3 separate regions of the Mus musculus genome follow, and regions 1 and 2 are each reported to be linked to region 3. Evidence: microRNA targets listed by miRTarBase, many of them from high-throughput screens and not tested one by one. Region 3 holds a microRNA gene; each other region holds the end of a gene's coding sequence.

Region 1 (3,264 bases), not on the chromosome of region 3:
GTCCCTTCTACAGATGTAGGCTTCGTCACACCGGAGAGTCTGAGGATGGGGCATTGAGGTGTGTTCATGGACTCTGGAATTCAGATTGCCAGGCCCGAACCTAGATTCACCATTCTGTCAACCTTGTGAAAAATCCAGAAGCCTCGGGGTTTATTATAAACTGAGGAGGAGATGATGCAGACCCAAGGCTTGTACAGAGCAGTTGAAGTGCAGTGAGGAACATTGGTGTCTGGCTTACAGCAAGGGCTCAGTAAACCTGAGATGCAGTGGCTTTTCTGGCCTTCCTTTCTCTAGCTTCAAAACATTACTTTTAGTTCTAACTAAAAACCTGGCAAATGCCTTATTCCTAAGTTATTTGTTAAGGCACTAAACTTTGTCACATATGAAATAGAAATTACAGTGTGTATCAGAAACTTGAGCACCTTCTAATAATTTTTTGATGAATATAGCCGTTTTTAACTAAATAGAACAATTCATGCTACTTTAAATAAAGTGAAGTAAGCAAGGTATAATGTTAATTCAGAATGCTCCAGAATGGTATGCTTTATAGACAGCAGATATAAATAGTTTTTGGAATTTTGAAAACATAGTTTTCTTGATGGTTTTGGTTTTTTGCCTCTTTTAGATGATGCTGAAATACAAAGATAAGAAGTGGTACCAGTTCTGACAACTAGAACTCAGTAAGTCCAGCTTCAACCAGAAGGAAAAAGAAGTTTCCTTGTTGATATCACTGATGTATTTGGGGAAGATAACGTAAAAGGGACGCACTTTGCTGAGAACTTCTTTCCCAGCACAATCATGCACTGTTTTACCTCAGTCACACGGCTTTAACTGAGAAGACTCCCCATGCGTGCAAACCGGAGCATAGAGTGTGTGCTGGCTGTGCATTGACGAACGGAGAACTGAGTGGGGTCACGCTGACAGATGAACATCCAGAAGATGTTGACAAGTCCTGGAGGACTATTCTGTGGATCATTCCTGTATTAAACTTTCATATGCCAAAAGACTTTGTGCCGTTGTATCTGCCATCAGTGTTTGATCCGACGTGGGGAGAGGCAATAAACCAGAAGTTGTAAGTCCACAAAGGTCACTTTGTATCTGGACTGCATTGTGAGCAGCTGTCTGCACTCACCCTCTCTCAAACAGACTGCTTATCAGTCTTAGTGAAAAAGCAGCAAGCTGTCCCTTCTCGCTAGACTCTGCCGAATGGTGGGCTTTCAGTAATCAGAGCACACACACACAGCTCGTGTGCGTGCGGGATCCTCTTCTACTCTCATCATCACATACTGTGTTCAGTTCCTATGTTTTCCAAAGCAAAACAAGGTGATGTGTCACTTTTCATGGAAAAGTGTGGCGCATAGCTGAGTCGCTCATCTTCGGGGAGTTTCCATGTAGTAGCCATGCAGAGTGGAAGAGTGAGAGAACCTGCATTGTGGTGAGGAGAATCCGTCCCTGTCCTGTGTCCTGTTCACATCAGTTCAGCTAAAAGTAGACCTGACCAACACAGTTACTGGTTAAATTTGTAGAAAAGTCGAAATTGGCTAAGTTTTTAATTTTGCTTGAAATTTTATAAAATGTTTAACCAAATGTACCCTTGCATTATTTAATTAAAATTGCTAAAACAGCAGTGTTTTATCATTTCAGTAAAGTGCTCAGCTCCCTTTTAAAACTGCCCTCCATTCGCTCACAGTTCCAGTACACTCAGGTGATGAGCCAGTTTAATCTCAGTGCACACACTGCTGCCGCATGGAGAGCTGCAGGGCTCTCTTGTCCAGTTATCCAAGAGTCTAGTCTGATGAGCTACAAAATATCTCCCGTAGAAAACATCACGCTCCTGTACATATCCCTTTGACATACTAAAAGCAAAAAGGAAATGTTGACAGCAGTCAGTCATGAAGTTTTTTCTGTAACCAAGAGTGGTGTGCATTGGAGGGCAGCAGACACTGAGTGATTGGTTCTTGCAGTAGCATGACAGCCTAGAGAGGATGCAGCCTGTACTGCAGTCAGGGGCTGTGATTGCTAAAGCCACAAAGGAAGCCGGGAAGGGAAGGGGAGTGGGGGTGTGAACTTCACACACTGTCTCCTGTGGACGTCTGTACTGGGTCACTGTCCTTACGTGCAGGCAGGGCACAGATTCCTGCGACTCGGGCTTTTTCCTGCTCTGTGTGAGAAGTTAAGTCCCTGTAGGTCATCCTCACTTCTCAGCCTGCCGCTTGCCCCTGTCTCTTTCATTAATAATTCTTTTGTTTACATTTTATAATGTGCACTACTGGATATCAAAGTTTACATCAAAGTTTACTTTAAATAGCATAGTAAGGATTAAATATATGTGATAAAGAGAACTGATCAAGATAAAAATGTTTTTAAACTATAATCATTTTTTAAAATTTCTGAATCTGTAGAAAGTGAAAAAACATTCGTTTCATGTCTGTTCTCTGAACATTCGGCAATTTACAAATTGCTTAATTTGCATTATATATTGTCCATTAAACCCATGTTCCATGGTACCTCACTGGAAGAATTGGGTCCTTTCTTAAAGGTATAGTTTTATGAATATCGATAGTCGAGAGTTTTAAAAAGTTGAAAAGTACTAAGTACCTAACACACTGCTTGACTCTGTGTGGAGCCTCAGCTGTTTAATTTGTTGGGTTGTTTGCATATCAGGTTCTTTTCTACCGTCATTTTAACCGCTGTAAATAGATGAGTCAAAGTTGTGATTATTTACTAATAGAGAAGTAGAGAAGTTTACCGGAGTTGGATTTTTATAAGAACATTTTAATTCATTTTAAATTATTTGTTCTTTATTTTAATTGATCTACATATTGTGCACAACAGGCTAAGAGACCAGTACTAGAAAGTACAAAGTATTTTTAAGTAGAGAAAATGAGCTTCCCAGGGCTGCACATGACTATGTAAATAAGACAGTTCCCAGTGATAACTGGCCCAGGGCATGGACTGGTCTGAAATGGCCTGCCTCCTCCCAACCCACTCCTGTCTTTTTGATGCAAAAAGCAGTAGCCACCAGCAAGCCAAAGTTTCAGGAACTTTAACAATAACAACAAAAGGTCAAAAACTAAAATATCAAAAACATAAAAGAGTGTGTGAGTACGTGTGTGTCTTCTCTGTAAACTCATTTGTCTTTGATTCTGAAATTCAAGTATTCTTCAGTTAATTTTATTAATGGGAAGAGATTGTCTCTATGTACCACATAACAAACTTGTTTCATTTTGCAAACTAAAATCAGTCCCTGTTTGCTTAGAATGT
Region 2 (3,264 bases), not on the chromosome of region 3:
TCCACTTCTATAATGAATGCTGATTTCCTTGATTTCTGCAGCTAAATGTCACCCTCCCGGTATAGGTGTGGTTAGCTCACACTGTATGAGATTTAGCAGACAGTGGGGTTTGGGAGATGGGCAGATGCTTGCCATGTAAGCATGAGGACCTGAGCTCAGATCTCCAGCAGCTGTGTAAAGCCACGTGTGATGGTGCATGCCTGTAATGCCAGTACTCGGGATGCGATGGAGTTCGGTACCCTCGAGTGAGGTGGAGAGTGATCAAGGAAGACTCTACAAGTGTGTGTACACAGATGTACTTGCATATATATGTGCGTGTGCACACGTGTACACACACACAATTTATCAGATAACTGCTTTCTCTTAAGACTTTCCTGCATGAGGGGCCATGCTGTCTGTAGCTCTGTGCTTTGCATTTCTGCCTTTTAAAAACCCTCAGTCTGATTCTGGACCCTCTCGGTTATAAGGTTGGTTGCTTGTAGGGCTCTTAGTCTTCTTGTGAGGCTATTGTTTTTCCTGATTCTTCTAGAACCCACTTTGTGATTAAGAACTCATTTTTCCACAGTAATGTCATTTAGCCTTATGTTTTCAGTTGTATTTCAGTTTGAAAGATGAAGATATCTTGATTATGATAAATATTTGTGTTTTTCTTTCAACAGTGACATTGTGAGGAAGATTGATCAGTCTGAATTTGAAGGTTTTGAGTATATCAACCCCCTCTTGATGTCTGCAGAAGAGTGTGTCTGATTCTGCTTGCCGCCATTCAGTGCATGGATATCCACCCGTCAGCCTGCTCACAGTTAGCATTTTATGTTGCCCCTGCAGAAGTCGCTCTCGGTATCCTGTTGGAGACTAGGAATCATACAGATAAATAGAACTAAGAAACAGAAGCTAGCTTCCTGACAATCATGTCGACCCTGCTTATGCTTGCTCTCCAGACACTCCTAATGAGGAAGGACGGTCTTTGTGTAAAGGAAACAACACAGCTTGTCAAAGAAAGCCTCTGCTGCGTTGTGACACTCGACGGGATGACATCATCAGTCTCCCACAGTTGTTGTCACTTTGTGTTAAGTCATTGAAGGCTTAATTGCGCAGTGGAGGGCCATGCAGAGTAGTGCATCTGCTAGTGTTACTGGTTGCCGAGGTCCCTCAGTTTAAGATTTCCTCCTATAAATAAATCTTCTCATTACTTTGGGTAATTAATAATTATGAATTGGGTTCTAAATTATTAGCTGTGTTTCAAAAACTGGCACAGTGATTTATTTATTTGTTTTTAATTTTTTAAAATTATTTTTACACTAAGGGGTTAGCTTCTGAGCTTGCCTTTTCAGTGAAAACTAGCATGCTGATGTGTGTTCAGAGGCAGGATTCGAGAGTGGCAGCTGCTCACATACAGGAAAAAGTAGACGTCTAAAGTAGCTACAGAAAGAACGATTGTAGCATTTTCTTTCTTACTGTAGAGTAAATCCTACAGTTGGTGTTTAAGATTTGATGTAAATAATGAGGAGGCTCTCACTTCTTAGCCAGCTTAGAAAAGCATTCCGTTTATTCAGGGGAAGCGGAGTGAATATATTTTTATTATTATTTAGTATATGGGAAAATAAATTATCTTCTGAGTAGAATGTCTTAACTACTTTTGGTTCCTTCTCCAGAGTACATTATCTGTACTTTGACCTTTCGTGGAGTCTGCGGTGAAATTCAAGACCAATGATGATGACCACGGATAACTATGTAACACACACACACACACACAGTTCCAGCTCTTCCTGAGCTCCTATGTCATAGCTAACATGTGATACAGAGTGAAATCCATTTCAGGGCAGGGTTCCTCAGTTCTCTACACTATTTTTATTAACAGTAAGTAGTATTTAGCAATCTCTTATTTAAAGAAGTACCGTTTTAAGCACCATTCTGCTGTTTATTTTAAATATTTTTATATAAAGGACTTTAAAATGATCGTCTAAATAAGCTACAGTTGTCAAATCAGTAAATTTAACTTTAGGAACGCCGCGCAGTGCTGAGCTTGTGATGATTTAAAACCTGTAGGCATTTGAAAATCACTTGGAGAATGCTACGTTTCATTAGAAGTGTGAGTTGTGTCAAGTTTGTGTCATGCATTTTCAAGTAATGTAAGACAGAGAGCAGTGAGAACCCCCATTGATAAAGCCAACAAGGGGCCATCGAGGCCACTTGCCAAAACCTGAAGACCTGATGATGCCTGCAGCCCACGGGCTGGTGGCCATGGCGCGCGCAGCCCTCCCCTGCAGGACATAAATGCGAGGGAGCAGACCAATAAGTGCAGTGCGTGCGCTGACACATTTCATGTTGAAGTGTGTGTTTCCCCTAAGACCTGGAACAGCTGTCTTAATCTAAAGGCAGCATTCACGCCCTAAGCTGCTAGGAGCTCGGGGGTGTGTATGCTGTGACCTAAGTGGTGCTCTCCCTTGGGGCATTTTAGACTGAGAGCTGTTGAAGTGCACAGTGTCCAGCCTGCCTGGGACTCTTTGGGGCTTTGTATTCCATTTTGAGAAACTTTTTCTTCAGGTTATTCTTTTTCTTGTGGCCATATTTCTTATTGGAGTGTGAGTCTGTGTTTTTTTGTGAAAAACATTTTAAGAAAGGATAACCAGTGAATTATCATGCATTTGTCAACAAACTTAGATGAGTAAATTCAAGTTGTATGTCTTCCCTACCCTCACCCACAACAAAACCTGTACATTTTCTGCCAATAACATTTAAATGATGAACAGTTTTCTGTGATAAGGTTTTAACCATAATTAATGGTGGTCTTTGTTTTTAAATCTTTTTTTTTTCTTATTGTTGTTAACTAATAAGACTTACTATGTGTGTTTTATACAGAATTATTACAGATGATTTTAATTCAGTTCTAGTTTTCAGTCCTTAAGTGCCATGCAAACTCTCTGTATGTGGTGGAAGCCTCCTTCTCTCAGAGTCTCCGGGGAGACAGGCAGAGGGATGGGCGCTTGGTGTCTTAGACACCACTTATGTTGCATAAGCTTGTGATCAGATCGGTTTATCACATGCAGCTGGATGGGTGTCTAGTTATCTGTGTCCCTGTTGCCAGTACTTATTTAGAAAATTGTTTTAATTTTTATCATGTAGAACACTGCCTTGTTCACTATAATGTAATCTGTATTTGTATAATTTTTTTTACATTAAAATCTTTAAATAAAATGTTTAATACCTATGAGGAGTGGACCATTTTCAACTTAAAAACAAATGTTCCGGGCTAGAGAGATGGCT
Region 3 (3,264 bases):
AATGGGGGGGGGCATTGTTTAACTGTGGAGCAAGGTAAGATTCTAGGATAAGTGAGGGAGTAGGGAAGAAATGAGTATCACAACTCTGTTTTAAATATCCATATAAGAACAATATATGGTAGATACAGTGACCTGTAGTTTGCGTAGATGATTGCCAACACTGTATCTGTAAAATTAAATTCATTTTATTAATTCATATGAAGAATAAACTAAATGTTTTGCACTTTTATGCTTACATACTTGTATATATTCATAAGGTGAGTACACAAATGAAATCTTCATTAAATATTGCCTTACCCAATATGGGATATCATCTTTTATGTTTCCCAGGGTGCACAGAAAATTAGCTAAAGCAGCATACATTATATGTAAATGTTGAAATGTTGAAATCTAGCCTCTACAATCCCCTTTTTATCTTTAGCTTGCATCAAGTTACCAACTCACATGATAACTAAATGCTAGTCTAATTTGTTCATGCATCATCATGGATTCCATCAAGAACCTATCTTTTTAACATTCCTCCAGCTTCAGAAGAATGGTTTTCACTAGCATGAAAGTTAGCTGACTGCCATTTTCTCTGAACCGTAGTATTTCCCAAAAAGATCATTTTTTATCCTTCTGTAGTCTGTTCACTCATCCAAGCTATCTAAGGTGAAGTGTAATACATTGAAGCTGAAGACTGGAAAACACATCTAATATGCATGCATGTATCAACCTCACCATATCCATACATGAGACATTTACAGGTACCAAAACTGGTGATTGGTGTGCCTTACTCTACTCAGAGAGGATGGAGTAACATGCAATAGGAAGTGACTCATATCAATCTGAGTATTGCAGTGCACACAGTTTGTTCAGTGATGTCCTGTGTCTCAGCTTGATCCCACAATCTTCAGTATATTCCAGCAATTATATAAATATAGTTAGATACATCAACAATACCTTATTTATTCATAGGTTTAAAAGGACTATACTGCACTTTATCTTTCACAACTCTTCATATTCTATGATCTATAGTATTTAACTTTATACATGTATGCACTAATAAAAGTACCTTATGTTAGCACCTTTCTTTACATTATTTAACATGAGGTTCATAAGATTAAGAACAGACTGTCCAAAGAATGTTAAAGAGAATTTAAGCCATCAGATATCAAAAATTCCTCTATAAATAGGAACTTCAAGTTACCTTGGTTACATACAGAGGCCATTATATGAGTTACTTGCTGAACCTTCCTTTAAGAAAATCCATGGTCATAAGGACTTCATCTCATCAGTACCAATGTTAATATAAAAATGAGCATAATTGTATTTAAGTAGACACTGTCACAAAAGCTTCCTTCATCTCCTGCCCATTTTATTACATAGTCATCAAACCACAATGTTTGAACTCTTCTGTAATTTAGGCTTAAAATCATATTATCAAACACCTTTAGTATGTGTTTCTCATACCATAAATCCTTTTACTTGCCTTCTTCTAAGGGAAATGACTGTCAAAATAAAGAGTGGAGGTTTTATAAATGTATTCATGTACTGGGAACTGTGTTAATGTACTTTATTTTTTCTTGTCTGACTTAAAGAGATTCTTTCTGACACTAACACAACATTCCTTATGTAAAGGTAACAATATAAATACACCTAGAAACACAATATGCATGGTTCTATTTCTGTGCAGCCAAACTAACAGCAGCATTCATTTATCAGCACTGTGACCACCCAAGCCCACAACAAATGAGGAACACTGTGAGCCCTCCTCTACCCAGTGTGGTGTCATGCACTTAAGTTTCACGTGTCTTGACATCCAACTAGATAAAGCATTGCACACAACACTCTTTTCATTAACTTGCTGTATAAGAAGCCTCTATCATACACTTCAGCTTTTATCAGAGACTAAATTAAAAAAAAACATGATAACTATCCTTTGACATAATTTGTCCATCTACTTTTGAGAATAATTAATCACTCTCCTTCACCACGCTTTTACATAAAGCATGTCCTGTAACTAACTTTCCTTTTCAGTGAATAGTTATACTATCCAGAAAAATAAACAGATTGCATCTTTGTATATTAAGATGATCCCCAATGACGATTGAAGTTACCGCCGTATCAATCTTGAGGATGTGTTATGATACAGTGCCTCCTGTGATCTTCAGTGAGTATATCACTAAGGCTGTTTTTGGTGAACATTACTCTATTCAGAAAAGACACAGTTACTTTAGAAAAGATGTGACTGTTATCTCTCTGAATATTGTACTGCACACAATTTGTTCATTGAGTATGAGGAATAGCATCAGCCTGTCCCAAACACCAGCATATTTCATATTATACCACACTCAGATTGTTAATATGAATGTTAATGTGACCACATATTCTAAAATCTCATTCCCAATCATATTTATGACAACCACAGGCCTTCTGACATACATTCTTACAAACTAGATGTTTTGGAGAATCAATAATATAATCTTTAACTAATTTTTATTTTTTATAGGGTATATACTTAATCCTGTCCTTTTTTTTATAATCTAAGACAATTAATGATTAAGAATAGGAATCAAAATAATCACAATGCCTCTTTCCTCTATCTTGTAATATACCACTATATTAAGTTTGCATGATGATGATTCTGAATAGACTGGGTTCAATTTGTGGTCATCCATGACATAGGATGCTATTTTCTAAGACTTAAACTATGCATAAAGGACACTGACATATAGGCACTGCAAAGAGAACAACTTTGCTGTATTTGAAGGTGATGATTCTTGTTATTATTATATCACTAGAACATTTATCAGTCCTGTGTGACTCCTGAACCCTGAATTAATTTATTCCTAACATATTTAATTGTGCTTACGATATGGTCATTCATCATGCATAACAAATGAAAGCCTTTGATCCTATATTGTTACTTACTTCGTTGAATCGAATGACCAATAATGCATGTTTATTTCATTTCCAATTTTTATAAGTAAAGTATTTTTATGTTGTCTAATACATGTGAGTCAACTGAACAAAGAATAGAAATAAAGTCATCATTAATAAACCCTATGAACTAGAAATATCACAGGACTACTTAAGATTATTAAAGACCAGCCAAAGAAATTAGGAGCTATCCAAAGGTCAATATCCAGAAGTTTAATAAAGTAATACACTTGGTGAAGCTTGCTCTTAAAAGAGTTGGTTGCATTTTACTCAATCTGGAACAACACTTTGCTCCCATACAAACAAGAACATTAATGTATAATGAATAAGTTATTCTGATTT

What was found. The annotated mature microRNA mmu-miR-881-3p reads AACUGUGUCUUUUCUGAAUAGA and lies in region 3 at 2,191-2,212, opposite strand. An mRNA with a match to its seed (bases 2 to 7 or 8) in the 3' UTR can be bound and repressed. Matches are read on the target gene's strand: a 7mer-m8 pairs with bases 2 to 8, a 7mer-A1 pairs with bases 2 to 7 and ends in A, and an 8mer does both.
Region 1: miRTarBase lists Stxbp5 as a target of mmu-miR-881-3p. Seed matches in the 3' UTR shown: 7mer-m8 at 1,502-1,508.
Region 2: the mRNA of Prkci is a reported target of mmu-miR-881-3p. Seed matches in the 3' UTR shown: 7mer-m8 at 1,749-1,755.

The regions. Positions count from the first base shown.
Region 1 is chr10:9,758,316-9,761,579 of GRCm38, reverse strand. Stxbp5 (syntaxin binding protein 5 (tomosyn)) reads left to right here. Exons shown (of 26, transcript NM_001081344.2): 26 at 626-3,264. The coding sequence ends at 667. Among named protein-coding and RNA genes, the nearest start is that of Gm31471, 61 kb to the right of the region's middle.
Region 2 is chr3:31,049,531-31,052,794 of GRCm38, forward strand. Prkci (protein kinase C, iota) reads left to right here. Exons shown (of 18, transcript NM_008857.3): 18 at 660-3,210. The coding sequence ends at 747. Among named protein-coding and RNA genes, the nearest start is that of Gm33641, 8.4 kb to the right of the region's middle.
Region 3 is chrX:66,799,764-66,803,027 of GRCm38, forward strand. It overlaps Mir881 (microRNA 881), which reads right to left and starts at 2,258; the gene lies at 2,181-2,258. Mir880 (microRNA 880) reads right to left here and starts at 844; the gene lies at 767-844. Mir878 (microRNA 878) reads right to left here and starts at 1,822; the gene lies at 1,745-1,822.